Alligator mississippiensis: one gene and its partner. The protein of the gene in region 1 purifies or fractionates together with the protein of each later gene. This does not show direct contact. Links are inferred from orthologs where the notes say so. Each region holds a gene or a part of one and is shown in the gene's direction. Other genes may lie near its edges.

What was found. The genes of interacting proteins can lie anywhere in the genome.
Region 2: the proteins of CBX3 (region 1) and CCDC71L purify together in Homo sapiens (affinity purification with mass spectrometry; 3 studies listed by BioGRID and IntAct, with this or other methods). This does not show direct contact. The link is inferred for Alligator mississippiensis from reciprocal best matches to the Homo sapiens genes CBX3 and CCDC71L.

What each region holds. Positions count from the first base shown.
Region 1 is NC_081828.1:156,757,961-156,765,822, reverse strand, and holds the start of CBX3 (chromobox protein homolog 3), read left to right. Parts: upstream 1-4,771; 5' UTR 4,772-4,801; coding exon 4,802-4,867; intron 4,868-6,081; exon of another isoform or gene 6,082-6,108; coding exon of another isoform or gene 6,109-6,132; intron 6,133-7,862. Other genes in the region: HNRNPA2B1 (heterogeneous nuclear ribonucleoproteins A2/B1), read right to left, coding at 3,273-3,317.
Region 2 is NC_081827.1:27,292,491-27,299,344, reverse strand, and holds CCDC71L (coiled-coil domain-containing protein 71L), read left to right. Parts: upstream 1-4,825; 5' UTR 4,826-4,903; coding exon 4,904-5,527; 3' UTR 5,528-6,341; downstream 6,342-6,854.

The sequences.
Region 1 (7,862 bases):
TAACAAAAAGGGGCAGCCAAGCTAGCAGTGATTGGCTGAGAGGGCTGCGTTGCATGTGGCCCTCCCTACCCTTCTCCACCAACCAGCAGTGAGGGGGTGGGGCCCCTTGGCCAATCAGGGGCTTCAGGGAGCCCACTCCGCAGAGACCATGTAAATGGCAGTCAGCACCATGAAATCACCTGTCCTGCCACCTACATTTTGGAAAGTCCCTACTTATGGAATGTACCTGAAGGGCTAATCCAGCACTAATAAAATGGTGCAAGTTCTCCCCTACCTATTCTCTCCAACCCTAAAAAAAATTAAAAAAATAAAAAAGAACTAGTCTAAAGAGAGACTTGCCAATTTTGTCTATAAATGTGTTTGTAACCTGCTTTAAAATGATTATCACTTCAACTTATTTTCCAATAAACTATTCAGACTAATAAAAGCTTTTTGATGCTGCCTAGGCAGGATTTCAACTAGTGTGAGACATGGAAGAAGGACCACTGAAAGCAATGCCAAAACAGCTTTTGATAATGACTTCAAACCAAGACTATAATTTCAGATTGCAGAAATTGCACTGTTCATTTTTCTAAGTTACAGCCTTACCCTGTACTTCTTTAGAACTGTCTGCAGAGCCTGAGTTGTGTAGTACTCAGACTTTTTGAAAAAACTGAATCATGTATTGCAAACATGGGCCCCAATAAACCCCTAGAAAACTATTTAGAAAAAATGAATACTGCATCTGCCAACAGTGTAATAACAGCATCACATACATCTTCTACTATGCTTTTTAATCAAGATTCAAACAGTTTAATAGAACATCAGCATCATTTTCTGCATTTGAAAAGTTGGAAAATTAGCCCAAGAAGCCAAGTGCATTAACCACTGGGAAAAAAAAGCCTAAAGGCCTAATTCTAACAGTCAACTAGAATACCTGCACTATTACAACATAAAATAATTGCAAACACGTAGATTTTAATGAATTTTTCACCAACCACCCTTTCACATTACAAAACTTTAAATGGAACTGAAGAAAGGAAGAGGACAATTTAAAGCAAGTACTAATAAAACTTAGATCAAATCACTATCATTTGGCATGCCAACAGACTAATTCTATAGGTATTTTATGTTACTGTAACAAAAAAACAAAAAAACAAAACCAGAGCAATTTCAACTCTGTAACCAATACCTACTAGAAAAAGTTAGGCATTAAGTCACTTAAAAAAGTGAAATGAATAAAATTACACTACTGGTTCTCAAACAAGCCTGTGGATCATTGGTGGTGCAGGACACTTGGTAAGGTTTGCTTGTAGGCTACAACTTCCTTACAAGACAACTACAAATAAATTTACTTTCTCCAATATAAGCAATTGCCATATGGGAATAATACAACTAGGAAAGGAGGGTTGGAGCATGTAGCCCCACATGGCCTAAGGCAGTGCCCCCCAACCTTTTTGCCCCACAGCACATTTACCTGAATAAAAAAAGCACAAACAGCACACTGGATGGGGACAGGGGAAGCTGTGTGCAGCCAGCCGGATGGCATTTTGGGCTGGAGCCATGCTCCCCGTGTCCACAGCATCAGTGGGCAGGGGGTGTGGCTCCACACCCATGTGCCACGGTTGGGAAATGCTGATCTAAGGGAGTGATTTTCAACCACAGTACGTGGCCTCGTGGCATGCCTTGACATCCTTTCAAGGGTACTATACAATGTTAGCACTGTTAGGTTTCCAAACATAAGTCACAAGATACACCCAGAGATTTCAAATAGAAATCCATAGTTGTGGTGTCTCCAAATTCTTTACAACAAATAAAACTGCTCTATTTTTCAGTAACCAAAAAAGTAGTGAATATTACTACTTTTAAAAATAGAGCTGACATTTTTTGAGGCGTTCCATGAGTCTGTCCAAGAGCGCTTTTGGTTTACCTTGGGGTATCTTGAATCTAAAAAGGATGAGAACCACTAGTCTAAGAAATGTGAGGAGCAAGAGTTTTGGTGATGTCTTTTACTGGACCAACTATATAATGGGGGGAGGGAGGAGAGAGAAGGGGAATGTAAGACAAGCTTTCAGGCAGCCATTGGGATTACCAAGGGAAAAGACTACTATAATTAATCTCCATATTAAATGATGGTTCACATTACTGTTTAATATATCATTGCATGCATGCGTGCGTATACACATGCATTTAAGTGAAGTCTCAGGCAAGCAGTCGGCCTCGTGTAGGATATGAACTCTGATGACAACGTACAATTAGAGGGAGATAGGTAGGCAAGTCATTCTGAAGTCAAGCAGAAACGCAGGGTAGACTAACCAAATCAGAAATGCACATGCTCACATCACTTCATGAGGTAAGCTCAGGCTCATGGAAGTTTGTGCATCTCTAATTTAGTTAGCCTACAAATGATCTTTGTTACTCAGCCTTATGCTTAAGTGTGTTACTTCTTGTTCCTCTGAGGATTTACCTTTACTGGACAGCCACCAAATATGTTGCATGCATTGGGATGTTTAACACATTCATTACAATGTTTTTGCCTTAGCAAAGACAGAGCCTTAGGACTAAGACTATTTCCCCTGAGTTTTAGGGAGTGTGAATGTTAGCTTACAAGTCAGAATTAAACCAACCCACTATACTGAAAACTGCAGTTTTACACTTGGCAAAGCAAAATGTCTGCACCTCACTTTTACCTGCTTGCTGATGAAATCTGGATGGGGGGGGGGGAGAGGAAGGAAACTGTTTCAAAATGCCAAAAGAAAAGCCGGTTGAGCATCTGTATCCTGTGCAAGGGAAGAGCTTATCAAGTTACTGGGAGCCTCCTTGTTCTGCCCTAGTACACTAAGATAAAACAAATTCGTCTCAACTGCTGCAAGAGCAAAGCCACCAAAAAATGGCGGCTAGAAATTTGAGGGGCGGGGGAGAAGATTCCGCATCCCGGCGCTGAACGCCCGCCAAAACGGCGCGCGGTCGGGAGCTGCGGCGCAGAGGCCGCTCCGAGCAATGCGCGGCTGCGCGGGCAGAGCCGGCGCCTCCTGCCCCTGCGCCGGAGCGCGCTGCCTCCAGGGCCCGAGCACATCGCGCTCCAGGTGGCAGCCATGTGGCAGCGCCGGGAGCCGGGGCCGCTCGGCTGCGGAGAAGGAAAATGGCGCCCACAAGCCGCCGCCTGCCGGGGAAGCGATGCGGCAGGAGAAAAGCCTCCCTCGAGAAGCCGCGCGCCGCCCTCCGGGGCCCGGCTGCACCCGCAGCCGGCTGAGGAAACCGCAGCCCCCCTCCCCCCCAACGCCGCCTCTCACCAGCTTGGCCGCGGCGCTGCCCTGGCTCACGGCCCGCCTCCCCATCCTGGCGCGGAGCCGCTAGCCCTCCTCACACACGAGCCTATCTGCGCGCCGCCATTTTCTCCCTCCGCCTCGTTACCGCCATTAAAAGCCGGGGCACCGCGGCCGGCAGTCGCCAGGGGCACGCGGGCCCTCCCCCCGCTGTCGTTCGGTTCAACGGTCCCGGCAATCGACCCGCCCCTCCCCCGCCTCCCTCCCCCCGCGCCAGCCCCAACCGCCTTCGGCGCTTCCAGAACTTTCCTCCTCTAACTGTCGCTCAGGCCCGGGCCGGCTCTAGCGACCCACGGGGGGGGGGGGGAAGGAGGGGATGTGGGGGTGCCGCGACCCCTTCCCCCCGGCCGAGCCCCGCGCGCCGCCAGGCACGTACCATATTCTTCATGGTGCGGGCGGCCCCGGGTGCGAGCGCACGCGACAGGCCCAGTAATGGCTGCCTCAGCCGTTACGCAATTTGAAATTCGGGTTCGCGGTCAACCTGTTTTCACCTCACGCCAGCCTGCCCTGCCCTGCCCTGCCCAAAGCGCGCGGCTCCCGAGAGGGGGGAAGAGACTGGGCCGTGGCACCGAGCTCCCCTTTGTGTTTTACTGTCCGCAGAAAAGGAAGGAAAAAAAAACATCGGCTCCGGGAGCAATGGCCGCCTCCGGAATGAGCCGAAGCGTCCGTCGTCGTCGAGCTCTTCTGCTTCGGCGCCTGACGGAAAAAGTCGAAACGGCGGCGGCCGCTGGGCCGAGGAAGTTCGGCTCTTTCCGGAAGGAGCGAGTCCGGGACCCGGCAAGCTCACGCTCCGCTTCGGCCATTTCCGGAAAGGGAATCGTGAGGCGCCGCGTGGCCGACCGGAGCCGAAGCGCCTCGGCTCAGCTCGGCGGAGGCTGCTCCCTCTTCCAGCTTTCTGGGAAGGGCCGAAGCCGCTCGGGGACAAACCCTCGCGGCCCACTCCTCGGTTCCCGGGCCCGGCCCTTCCCAGTCCGCCCGCCTCAGGGCGAACCACTAAGAGCGGATTTCTTCCCTCAGTGCTCCCGCCCTGCGCCATTCTCCTAGCCCGGTTCCTTCGCCCTGTGCTGCCCGGCCCAGCCCCGCTCCCTCCCGGCCGTGGCTGCGGGAGCCGCCGCCGCCATGTTGCGTCCCCGCTGGCGACTCACCCAGTCGCTCTCCCGGTCCCCGCGAGGCATCTTCTTCCGCCTGGGCGCGCGGCGAGGTTGGGTCCCCGGCGCTGCGCTAGGCTCCCGTGGGAGAGACGTCTTGGCCCGCTGCTACGCTGGCGACCGCGCGGCACTTGGGGGGAGGGGAAGGCGGCAGCTCCGGCGCGCGCGGCGGCGGCGGCAGCAGCAGCGATATCCTGCGCTGTGGCCCCGTCGCCGGCGCAGCAGCAGCGGCGGTGGCAACTCCCCTCACGCAGGCACGCAGCGCCCCGCCCCGCTCCGCTCGTGGCCCCGCCCCGCTCGCGCCCGGCCTCCCGCCTGCTCGCCCTCCCGCCCTCCCTCCTGCCGCGGATGCCGCTGCGCTCAGTGCGCGCAGGGAGCGAGGAGGCGACGGGGACGCCGCGGAGCCGCCGTGAAGTCTGTATCCTTCTCCCTTCCTCTCGTTCTCGTCCCCCGCTCCGCCGCTCTCGGCGCCGCTGCAGCCCCCACGGGGCGCGGGCAGGAGCGGCCGAGGAGGGGCCCCGGCGGGGGAGCCGCAGGGCACGGGGCGGCCGTGTGCGGCAGACAAAGCGCGCTGGCCGGCGCCGGGGCCCGCGCTGCGGCCGGGGAGGGGATGGGGGACGTGGCGATGCCCGCGGGCCCGGAGGAGGCCGCCGCCGGGGAGCTTCGGCCTTGCGTGAGGCCGCCCCGGGGCGCCCGCTCGCCCGGGACCCACCCAGCGCAGGCCCGTGGCGCAGCCCCGCCCCCCCCCTCCCGGGCCTCGGCAACGGGCCTTTGTTCCCCCTCCCCTCCTCTGCTTGGGCGGGCCGGGCCGGGCTGTGCCGCGCGGGGCCAGGGCCCGGGATCCTCGCGCTGCCTGGGCTCCCGGGGCGGCGGGGCTGAGTCGAAGGGGATTTTCTGGCCTTCTCTGGAGCTTTATCCATCGCCTTTTTCAGTGAAATCGGGGCCGTTTTAGAATTTCGGGGTGGGGGGGGTCCCTGAAGAAGTGGCCAGGCTGAGGCCCAACATGGAGGACGAGGGGGGAGGGGAGGTGGGGGATGGCCTGGGTGCAGTCAAACAATACATTTATCTTTAGGCTTAAATATTTCACTCCTCCATAGGCCCTGTCAGCATCCCAGTCCTAATGCTTGCAAACTTCAAGATCAGGTGGCAGCCTTGGGGTTGGATGTGTCTTGACTGTTATATAGAAGGATCCCGGGGGACTCTGGCTACTTGTTTCACTATTGCAGAACTGCTGCCAGCAAAAAATCTCTCTTTTGCAACTTGCAAATGCTTGCAGTTATGTCTTCTGGTTAACTGCTCCAATCTGAGTTCTTATGATTCTGGGTTCAAGCATATAAGGCATCCTGGTGGTCCTCAGCTTCCTCTGAAACATCCCTGTGCCTCAGAACGTCCTGTAAAAAGGACATTTTTTAACCACGGGTGCAAGTGCAGGTTTTATGTCACTAGTTTCACCATGTGGTCTTGGGTTACACCAGACAAAGTAACAACCTAGTTTTGTTCTGGATGAATCCACACTTGAATGTCATATACAGTGAACACATGGGGGTTGGAAAAAGGACCATGCTTGTATTGAGATGCCTTTCTCTGAGTAATGTAAACTTCCTTTTAATTGTCATGCATTTTTCTAGTAAAAGCTCTGCAAGTCTGCAATAAAAATGGCCTCCAATAAAACTACATTGGTAAGTTCATGCACACCTAAAATATTTAAGGATTTAACCAACATATTTTTTTTTCAAAATTATAACTTGGCATCTCTATGTAAAAGATACATCCACATCTCCCCTCCCCAGCATTATTCTGACTAAAATCTCAGATCCAGAAAGTAAGGCTATGAGAAAGGACATTGACTTTGGCTTTAAAAATCTGCCATCTAATGAGATGCATTCAATTTTTTTTAAAGGAGGGCTCTACTCCATTTCAGCTGTCCAGTTGTCAACTAGAATAATAGTTAACCATTACCAGAAAACACTGAATTTTTTTAGCCTCCTTTCATCACACCATATCATCCATTGCACATAAAAATAGCACTTAATGTTTCACTAGGAGTTTAGAACAAACTGCTGAAATCAAGCAATTTCTGAAATTAAATACCAATACAGAAAGGTAAGGTGATGGGGTATAGCTAGGGTTGCCACTGAAATTGTTTAATTGAACAACAAATTTGCGTTTCATAACTGTAGAGGTTACCAAATGTCTACTTCACCTGGACAGTTTTCATGGTGGAATCGTTTGTCAAATGATGGACCACAAACTTGGAATTTAGGGCAGGCGGATGTCTCAGTAGTTCTGATGTCCACTCAACAAATGACAGGACATGTTTGCAAAGGACAGAAGTGCATAAGCCTAGTGTTAAATATACCCAATAAGGGAAAAAAAATGGACAAACAAATCTGTGTGCTTTGGAAAAGGAACAATTTTGTCTGTTGTGGGAAAAAAATGCCATTAAGCTTGTTACTGTGCAGTTGACTATATTTTAGGTAAACTTTTAAATGTTTGCATTATCTTTTAAGTGCTGTGGTTTACTTACTCTAAGGAGTATTGCAACCAGATTCCAGTCAATAATGCTTACAAATACTTAATCAAGCTAAAGTTCTACATTTTCAAGTAGATACCAGTTCCCCAAGTCCCTAACTTCAATAATGTGGTGGTAGATCTAAACACTCATAGGAGGGGAAAGAGACCCTTTTTTCCTGACACTTGTATATAGCTAACCTCCCTATTACAATATTACCTCAATGTTATAATCTTTCACTTTTATAAAATGAAAAGGTGAGTGATTATATACTGAAGAAGGTACGTGTCTCTTCTGTGAATTTTGAATATGAAAAAGTGCAAGTTCGCTTTATTTGAATATGCTCAGGTTTTGGTGTAAAATGATGGGACCTAGAAGAAGAGGTCAGATAGTTCTAGAGACATTTCTTCCTGTTGATTTCAAATGTTGCGTGTTTTTGTAGGTTGAGATGTGGATTACAGCATGCAACCACAGAACATGCAGAAATTTGAACTGAATAAGCAATTTTTCTGTGGGCCATATGGTATAAAATGCACATTACAGAATTTAAAGAAGGTCAAGAAGAAAAGTTTGAAGATCTGCTGATGTACCTGTGAGACGTACATAAATCTGTTACGTCCGATAAAGATTTCCAAATACTTACCTTTCTCATGCACTTGCTTCAAGTGTTTTGTTTTAGAAGTCTAGGAGATTTGATTCTTAAATTATAAGAGCAAGAAGAAGAATCATTTTCAGAGAATGGTGGGATGGGGAGATTTAGCCCAAAGAAGAACTTCTCTCAAGAAATTATATGCACTTGTATGTCATATTTACAATAGCCTTGCCCAACATAACAATATGGTTACTGTTACAGAGCTATGACCATCCTGCTGTGCTTTCATCTCTATCATTTTTTAT
Region 2 (6,854 bases), on another chromosome or scaffold:
CGGTGTCGGTGGCAAGGAGGGGGGTGATGAGCAGTGACCTCCTGCAGGCAGGGCCAACACTGTCGGCGGTGCCTTTTCGCAGGGGGTGTACGTGTACCCACTTGCACCCCCTATGCGTTGCCAATGCACAGGGGCTTACACATGTGATGCTGCAGCAATACTAGAGCATTCTAATTAGAATGCAGAGCAGACTCGATTAATCTAATTAGAACGTGTCAGAGCACATGTATGGGCACCCTAGGTCTGTAGCCTCATGATCGGGGCACACTAGAAGAGGAGAGCAGTAGATTCTGGTTCCTACTTTCAGGGTCATTTATTCATCTTTAGACAGTCATTAGATAAAAAGCGGAAATAAACCTGGCAGTTACCTCACAGTAACCTCTTTATGTGCCTAGGCTTTCAGGAAAATAAATCTGAATTAACTTTTCATGTGGATTTGTTAAACTGCATTAAAGTCTGTGTGGTCACTGTTATTCAGAATCAAAGTGACCTTAATATGATTTATTTTACTTCACTTACAAAGTGAACTAAGCTAAATTGAATTAGGGCCACTTTTATATTGAATGAGTGTCTACAAAGAGCTTTAATGCAAAGTTACTATTCCACTTTAAATTTGCACCTTTAGCTAACTTGGATTAACATTTCTGAGTCTCCTGGTGTACATAAGCCCTTACAAGCTCACTTGTTTAAAATGGATGTTAGACTTCATTCAATTCCTATGTGGAAACTCTCATTCAACACTAAATGGCCTGTCTCTCTGCAATGGTGAGTGTTACCACCACAACATAGTCCTTACTTCTGCCTCATAAACTAGGTCTCAGAGGTAATCAAGACACTACTTTACGGCTACCTCTGTAGTGCTTTACTTGAGGAGGTTCATCCGCTCTTAGGTCATGGAGCTTTAAGACAAGCATGAAAGTGAAAAAGAGGTAGGAGGGAGACTGTCTTACCTGACATAATCAGAGAAGTAAACAAAAAAAAGGAAACAGCCCTCTGATGAAGATGGCTCATGTATTTGGAAAAGCAAGTTTTTTTGCTGGTATTGATTACATCTGGGGAATGAACATGAACTATATCAGAAACATACTTTTTTTTTTTTCCTTTTGCTGGTGTAAGGTACATCTACCTAGAAGGGAGGAGGGACCAAAGTGCCATCTTATGAAGAGTGATTTTTCCTTGTATGTGTTATTGAGATACTTATATCTCATATTTGAAATGAAAACCTCCATGATTTAAATTGTCACTTCCCTGGTATAGGGCTTCTGTAAATGTTGGACATAATTTCTTTGCTTTTTTCCAAACAATTTTTAAATTTTTATTTAGTCAATTTTAGTAAGAGCAATCTCTAAATTACTGAAATTCTTTGCCTCAGAGATGCATGGAATTTCTTGATAGCTGAGAAACAGTATTGTAGTGCTGGAAAATGTCAGAGGCACCATGCATTATGAGTGGTGCAGTGAACCATGACAGCCGATGGCTCTGGAGAGTGGCTCATGTGAGACTTGACAAGCTGGAGGAGTGTCTTTGTCTTTATTTTTGGACTTTGTAGCCAATCTACTTTCTTGGGATACAAATTTAAGCAGAGGCCACCACAAGACTTAAAAGAATCTTCCAAGTCTTTGAGTTCACTCTCCTGTTATCAGGGGCAAACATGTAACAATTTTTTCCCAAAAGGAGACCACAGTAGTATCAATTCTGGTCCCTCTAGCACAGGGGTGGGCAAAATATGGCTTGCAGGCCAGATTTGGCCTGCCAAGGGACTTTGTCCACCCCATGGTGGGTCCTTCAGTCCCACCTGGCCCAGGTGCATGGCATGGGCAGCTGGTTCCTCAGCTCCCGAGTGCACAGCGGTGCTGGGGCAGGGGCTGGGCTCTCTTCCTGGCAGCCTTGGCTCCTTCTGACTGCCTGGACCTAGCCCCGCTGCCCAGGCACCCCAGCTTGTCCACTCTGCACCCACTGCTGTTGACAGGATCTGCATGGGCAGGGTGCACAGCCAGGTGGATGGGATGGGGACATGGGGAAGGAGCAGTATTCAGGCGTGGTATGGGCAGGCAAAGCCAGGATCACAGGACAGGACCATAGGGTAGTGACAGCGTGTGGCCAGGACCCGGGGCAGAGCTGTGATCCACTGCCTGCATGGCCCTGTGACGGCTGTGGGTTCCATGGGCAGGGGTGTGTGGGAAGTGGATCGTGGATCTGCCCTGAGCCCCAGCCCTGTGCTGTCATCGCCCCATGGTCCTGGCCCCAGACTCAGCTGCAGCTCCCCATCTACACCCAGCCTCATCCCGTCTGGCTATGCGTCCTGCTTACACAGGTCCCGGATGGTCTCCATGAGCACCTTGGGATCTCTGTACACTGACAGCGCAGGGCTGTGGCCTGGGCAGAGCAACATACACTCCCTTGTACCCCTGCCTGCAGACCTGGCGGCCATCACAGGGGTGGTGTGGGCAATGAATCAAGTGTCTGCCCTGGCCCCAGCCCCAGCCCTGTGTTGTCACTGCTCTGTGATCCCGGCCCCAGCCCTGCTCGCCCATCCCACTCCTGGATGCTGCTCCCTGCCTGCCTGTGGCCCCATCCCAGTAGCCTGGCCAAGTGGGGAGCAGAGTCACTTAGGGAGTTGCATGGGGAGGGAAGGGGGTGCTGACCTGGCCAACAACAGCTCAGCAAAACTCCCTATGTGGCCCTCGGGCCCAAATAATTCCCCACCCCTGCTCTAGCAGGCTACTGTCACAAAGCACCTAACAATAACAATAGCACAACACAATCCCCAAACAAATGAAAACCAAAACTAATAAAATTAAACTTATGTTGTGCCAGAGAAAGAGAGATAGAGAGACAAAGTTGGCACCAATGCTTTGGCCACTGCAATGGTTGGGGGCTTGTTACATAAAATATGCTCAGATGATTCTAAGAAATGGAGCATGATCATTGCCAACCTGACCTGGGGGAAAATCCCTTCCTCACCCCAAGTACCATGTGATTGGTTTATCCCTAAAGAAATGAACAGGACCCAAGAGGCATGTGCTCAAGATGTCTCCTGGTAGCACAAAGAGCACCAGCTCACCCTGGTCAGTCACTCAGCTCTAATTGTGGCTCACCTCAGACATGAACTGGGTTGCTCCAGCATACTACTCCAAAATGTTGCCAACCTCTACATTAGAGGAAGACAAAAAAACCCCAAACAAACCCAAACCCAAATGCATTTACAGGGATAAAAAAAGTCTTCCTGATGCTCTCAGGCAACTAGCAAAAGCCTTGAAGCCTGGGATTGATACAATATAATATAGTGCAACAGGTACTGTGAGAGGGGCAGCGCTAGGAGGAGGCATGTAGGCGGCTATCGCCACCTCAGAATTCACCTTAGCCCCACAATAGCTCCCCCTCCTCTCCAGGCTGTCACCCGCCCGGCTCCTGCCTGCAGTGCAGCCCCTCCAGTTTACTGTCTAGCCCACCTCAGCCCCGCTGGGAAGAGCCTGGCGCTGCCCCTGGTTGTGAGCATCTTTAAGAAGAAACACAAGAATGAGCAGATGGAGTAAGTCTAATTTAAGAAGAGCCATCACAATTCATCTACCCCACCCTTCCTTATCTGCACACCCAAAACTGTGGAGTTTCTTATTATCTCATCACGCTGCTGTGTGAATACTTTCATGTCTTCAGCATGTCATTGAACTGCAAAAACGTTACGTTTGGTCTTCCAAACATCCTCTGCACTGACAAATGGATTTCATTTCATGTTGTAGGGACATTGTAAATTTGTAGTTTTAAGCTGGAATTAAGTGTGCTCGTTTCTTTATTCTTTTCTTCCAGGCTCACTCTTTGAGACTTTGGTCTTTTTCTGAGAAGTGTTGCTCTTTGAAATCGCTATGTAAAGCCTGTGTGTAATATTTCTTTCACTGGAGCTTGGACACTGTGGAAAGCATGGTCCTCATCTTCCCTGGCTCATGGGTGCCAGCTCCAAGCAGACAGTATGTTTCAGGGCAGTGCCATGCTTTCCTCGTCCTGTTCATCTCAGCATTCACTTTTTAATTTTCTGCAGCAACACGCAGCGTTGGGAACCACGCAGGCAACCGGCTGCCTGCAAGCTGTGTGCTGGGGATTGTGGCTGCAAGCGGGGTGTGAATGAGGGGGTGCCTCAGGGAGCTGAGCCCCTCCATAAGGGACAAGCGCCCCCCTGTAAGATTTGAAAACCATAACCTGTGTGGGGTGGGGTCTCCAATTGATTACTCTTTCCAATGAACCCTTTAATTACTTTTTTTTGGCAGACCACCCTTAGAGTCAACATGTAGATCGAACCCTGGCTGTCTGGGGGGGTCAAAATGCAACACGAGAAGGGGGGCAAAAGTGGACAGGCAATGAATATTGAAGCTGCTCCTTTTGTGGGGGTTCAGAGGTGGCTTTGAAGCTCTGACAGAGGGGAATATCTTTGAACACAGGTTAGCAGGAGAGGCGCCATTATCTTCAGGTCAAGGACAAGTGAAGCTCTGAGGGAAGGGAATATTTTTGCACACAGATTAATTAGCAAAGGGGGGGCCATTATCTTCAGGTCAAGGACAACCCAGGTGCCAGCCAGGCAGTTTCCCACTGTGGACAAAGGGCTGCCATGAGGTGACACGTGGGCACCACAATGGGCTGTGGGGAGGGTGATGGTGGAGCAGGAGCCCCCAGCAGGGGCTGCTCCCTTCCCCTCCCCCTCAGGCCCCCACACGGGGAGAAGCCACCAGGCTCCAAACGGCCACGGTGGGCGGGGCCTGGGCGGTGACGTATTTCAAACGGGCCAACGAGCGGGCGCGGAGGGAGGGCGGAGCCGAGCTCAGCCTCCGCCTGGGATTTTAAAGCTCCATCTTGGCCGCGGCGGCAGGATCTGGAGCGCGCTCCGCAGCGAGGAGGCGCAGCGGCCGCCCCCATGTCCCGCAGGAGGAAGGCGGCGGCGGCGGCGGCGGCGGCCGGGGGGAAGCCGCAGGGCAGCAGAGGAGCGGCGGCGGCAGCAGCAGCAGGGGTGTCGGGCGCGGCGGAGAAAGTTGTGTACTCGCGCTCGCAGGTGTCGTTCGCCGGCATCAAGGCGCTGGGCGACGCCATCAAGCTCTTCATGCCCAAGTCCACGGAGTTCATGCGCTCGGACTCAGAGCTGTGGGACTTCCTGTGCAGCCTCAAGCACGAGTTCTCGCCGGTCATCCTGCGCAGCAAGGACGTGTACGGCTACGCCTCGTGCCGCGCCGAGGTGCCCGCGCCCCCGCCGCCGCCGCCGCCCCGCGCCCGCCGCCGCCTCGCCCGGGCCCCGCCGCGCAGGAGGCCGCGCGCCGCGGAGGAGGAGGAGGCGGCGGCGGGGGCCTTCGGGGGCCGCTCTCTGGAGGAGATCTGGGCGGCGGCCACGCCGCGCCCGCCCGCCCTCCCCTGCAGCATCCGCGTGCGGGGCAGCGTGTGGGGCCGGCGGAGCCTGGCGGCGGCGCGGAGACAGGCGCAGCGCATCCTGCGCGTGGACCTGTCGCCCGTGGTGCGGCTCCGCCGCCTGCCCGTGGCGCGGTGCTGAGCGCCGGGACCGGACGGGACGAGCTCCGCGCACCTGTTCACACGGCCCCGCCCGCGCCGCGTCCTGCTGCACTTTAGAGACCCCCCCGAGCCCGGGGCCGCGGCCTGGCGGGGACTTGCCCGAGGAGCCGCTGGCAGCACTGGGATGCGCGCAGGGTGGCTGGACCCGGCTCCTCTGGCTGAAGCTTTTGACCAAGGATGTTTGTTGCCTCAGGAAGCAGGACCCAGGGTGGTGGGGATGGTGCAAAACCTTTCTTTTTCTTTCTCCCCCCCCCTCCCCCCCCCCCCTTTCTTGCCCAGCTTCGAGGCCTGGCTGGGCGCCGCGGACTTGTTATGCGTTTTGTATCCACAATCCTTTCTACTCTTTTATAGCTGACCCCAGGATTTGCTTTTTACAGAGTGCCCAAAGTGGCTTAAAGTGTGCGGCTCTTTTTTTTTTTTGACAGACCTGGGTTTGATTTGGGGGAAGTTGGAGACGCAGTGGTCCTGCCCGGAGAAACAGCCTGCAAAGAGAGGCTTGCTGAGGAGCTTCCAATACCCTCGTTGTGATCTTAGAGGGGCAAAAGGCTTGATTTCTAGACTGTTCTCATTAAAAGCAGAAACAAAAACAAAAAACAAACAAACACAAAAAGCAGCAAACACAAAGAACCATCCAAAGTTGGGGAAGACTGTTGAACATGTAACAAATGGTTTATGTGACTTGCCAGCCACTTTGGCTGCTTATAGAAGCAGGTGGTTAGTTAGAGTGGCTAACACCTAAATGCTACATGATTGAAGTACAATATTTAAAATAAACAGCAACAAAGCTTGATTTATCACCTGGTGTCTTCATAGCTAAATAAAACAATACAGGGTGTCATTTATCTGTCCTCTGCTAGAACTCGTACTGAGGCAGTTCCTTTTCTTTTTCTCTCTCTCCTCTCCCAGGGTAAAATGTGTGATCTCAGATACTTAGTCTATGGCTACAGGCTTGTTTTGCCTGGAGCTCTGTGTTTGGTCATCCTAAAGTACAAGTGGCTGTTTTTTTTGTGGTTGGTTGGTTTGTTTGTTTTGGGAGGGGGCAGGTATTCTTTTAAGGTAGCAGCTTAAACATTGAGATTAAGCTTTTTTTTATTATTATTATTTAATGTATAGTCCTAGATACATGTTGTAATGTTACAGGATTCCAAGTAATTCGTTTCTATGGAATTTATCCTCTAAAGCAAATGAGGTCTATAAAGTTGACATTGGGGAAAAAAGAGAATATGGATCCTTAACTGTAAAAGAGGAAGAAGGCATTGGCTTTGTAACTGTTAAATGATGTCCCCCTGGCTCTGAGAACAGGGCTT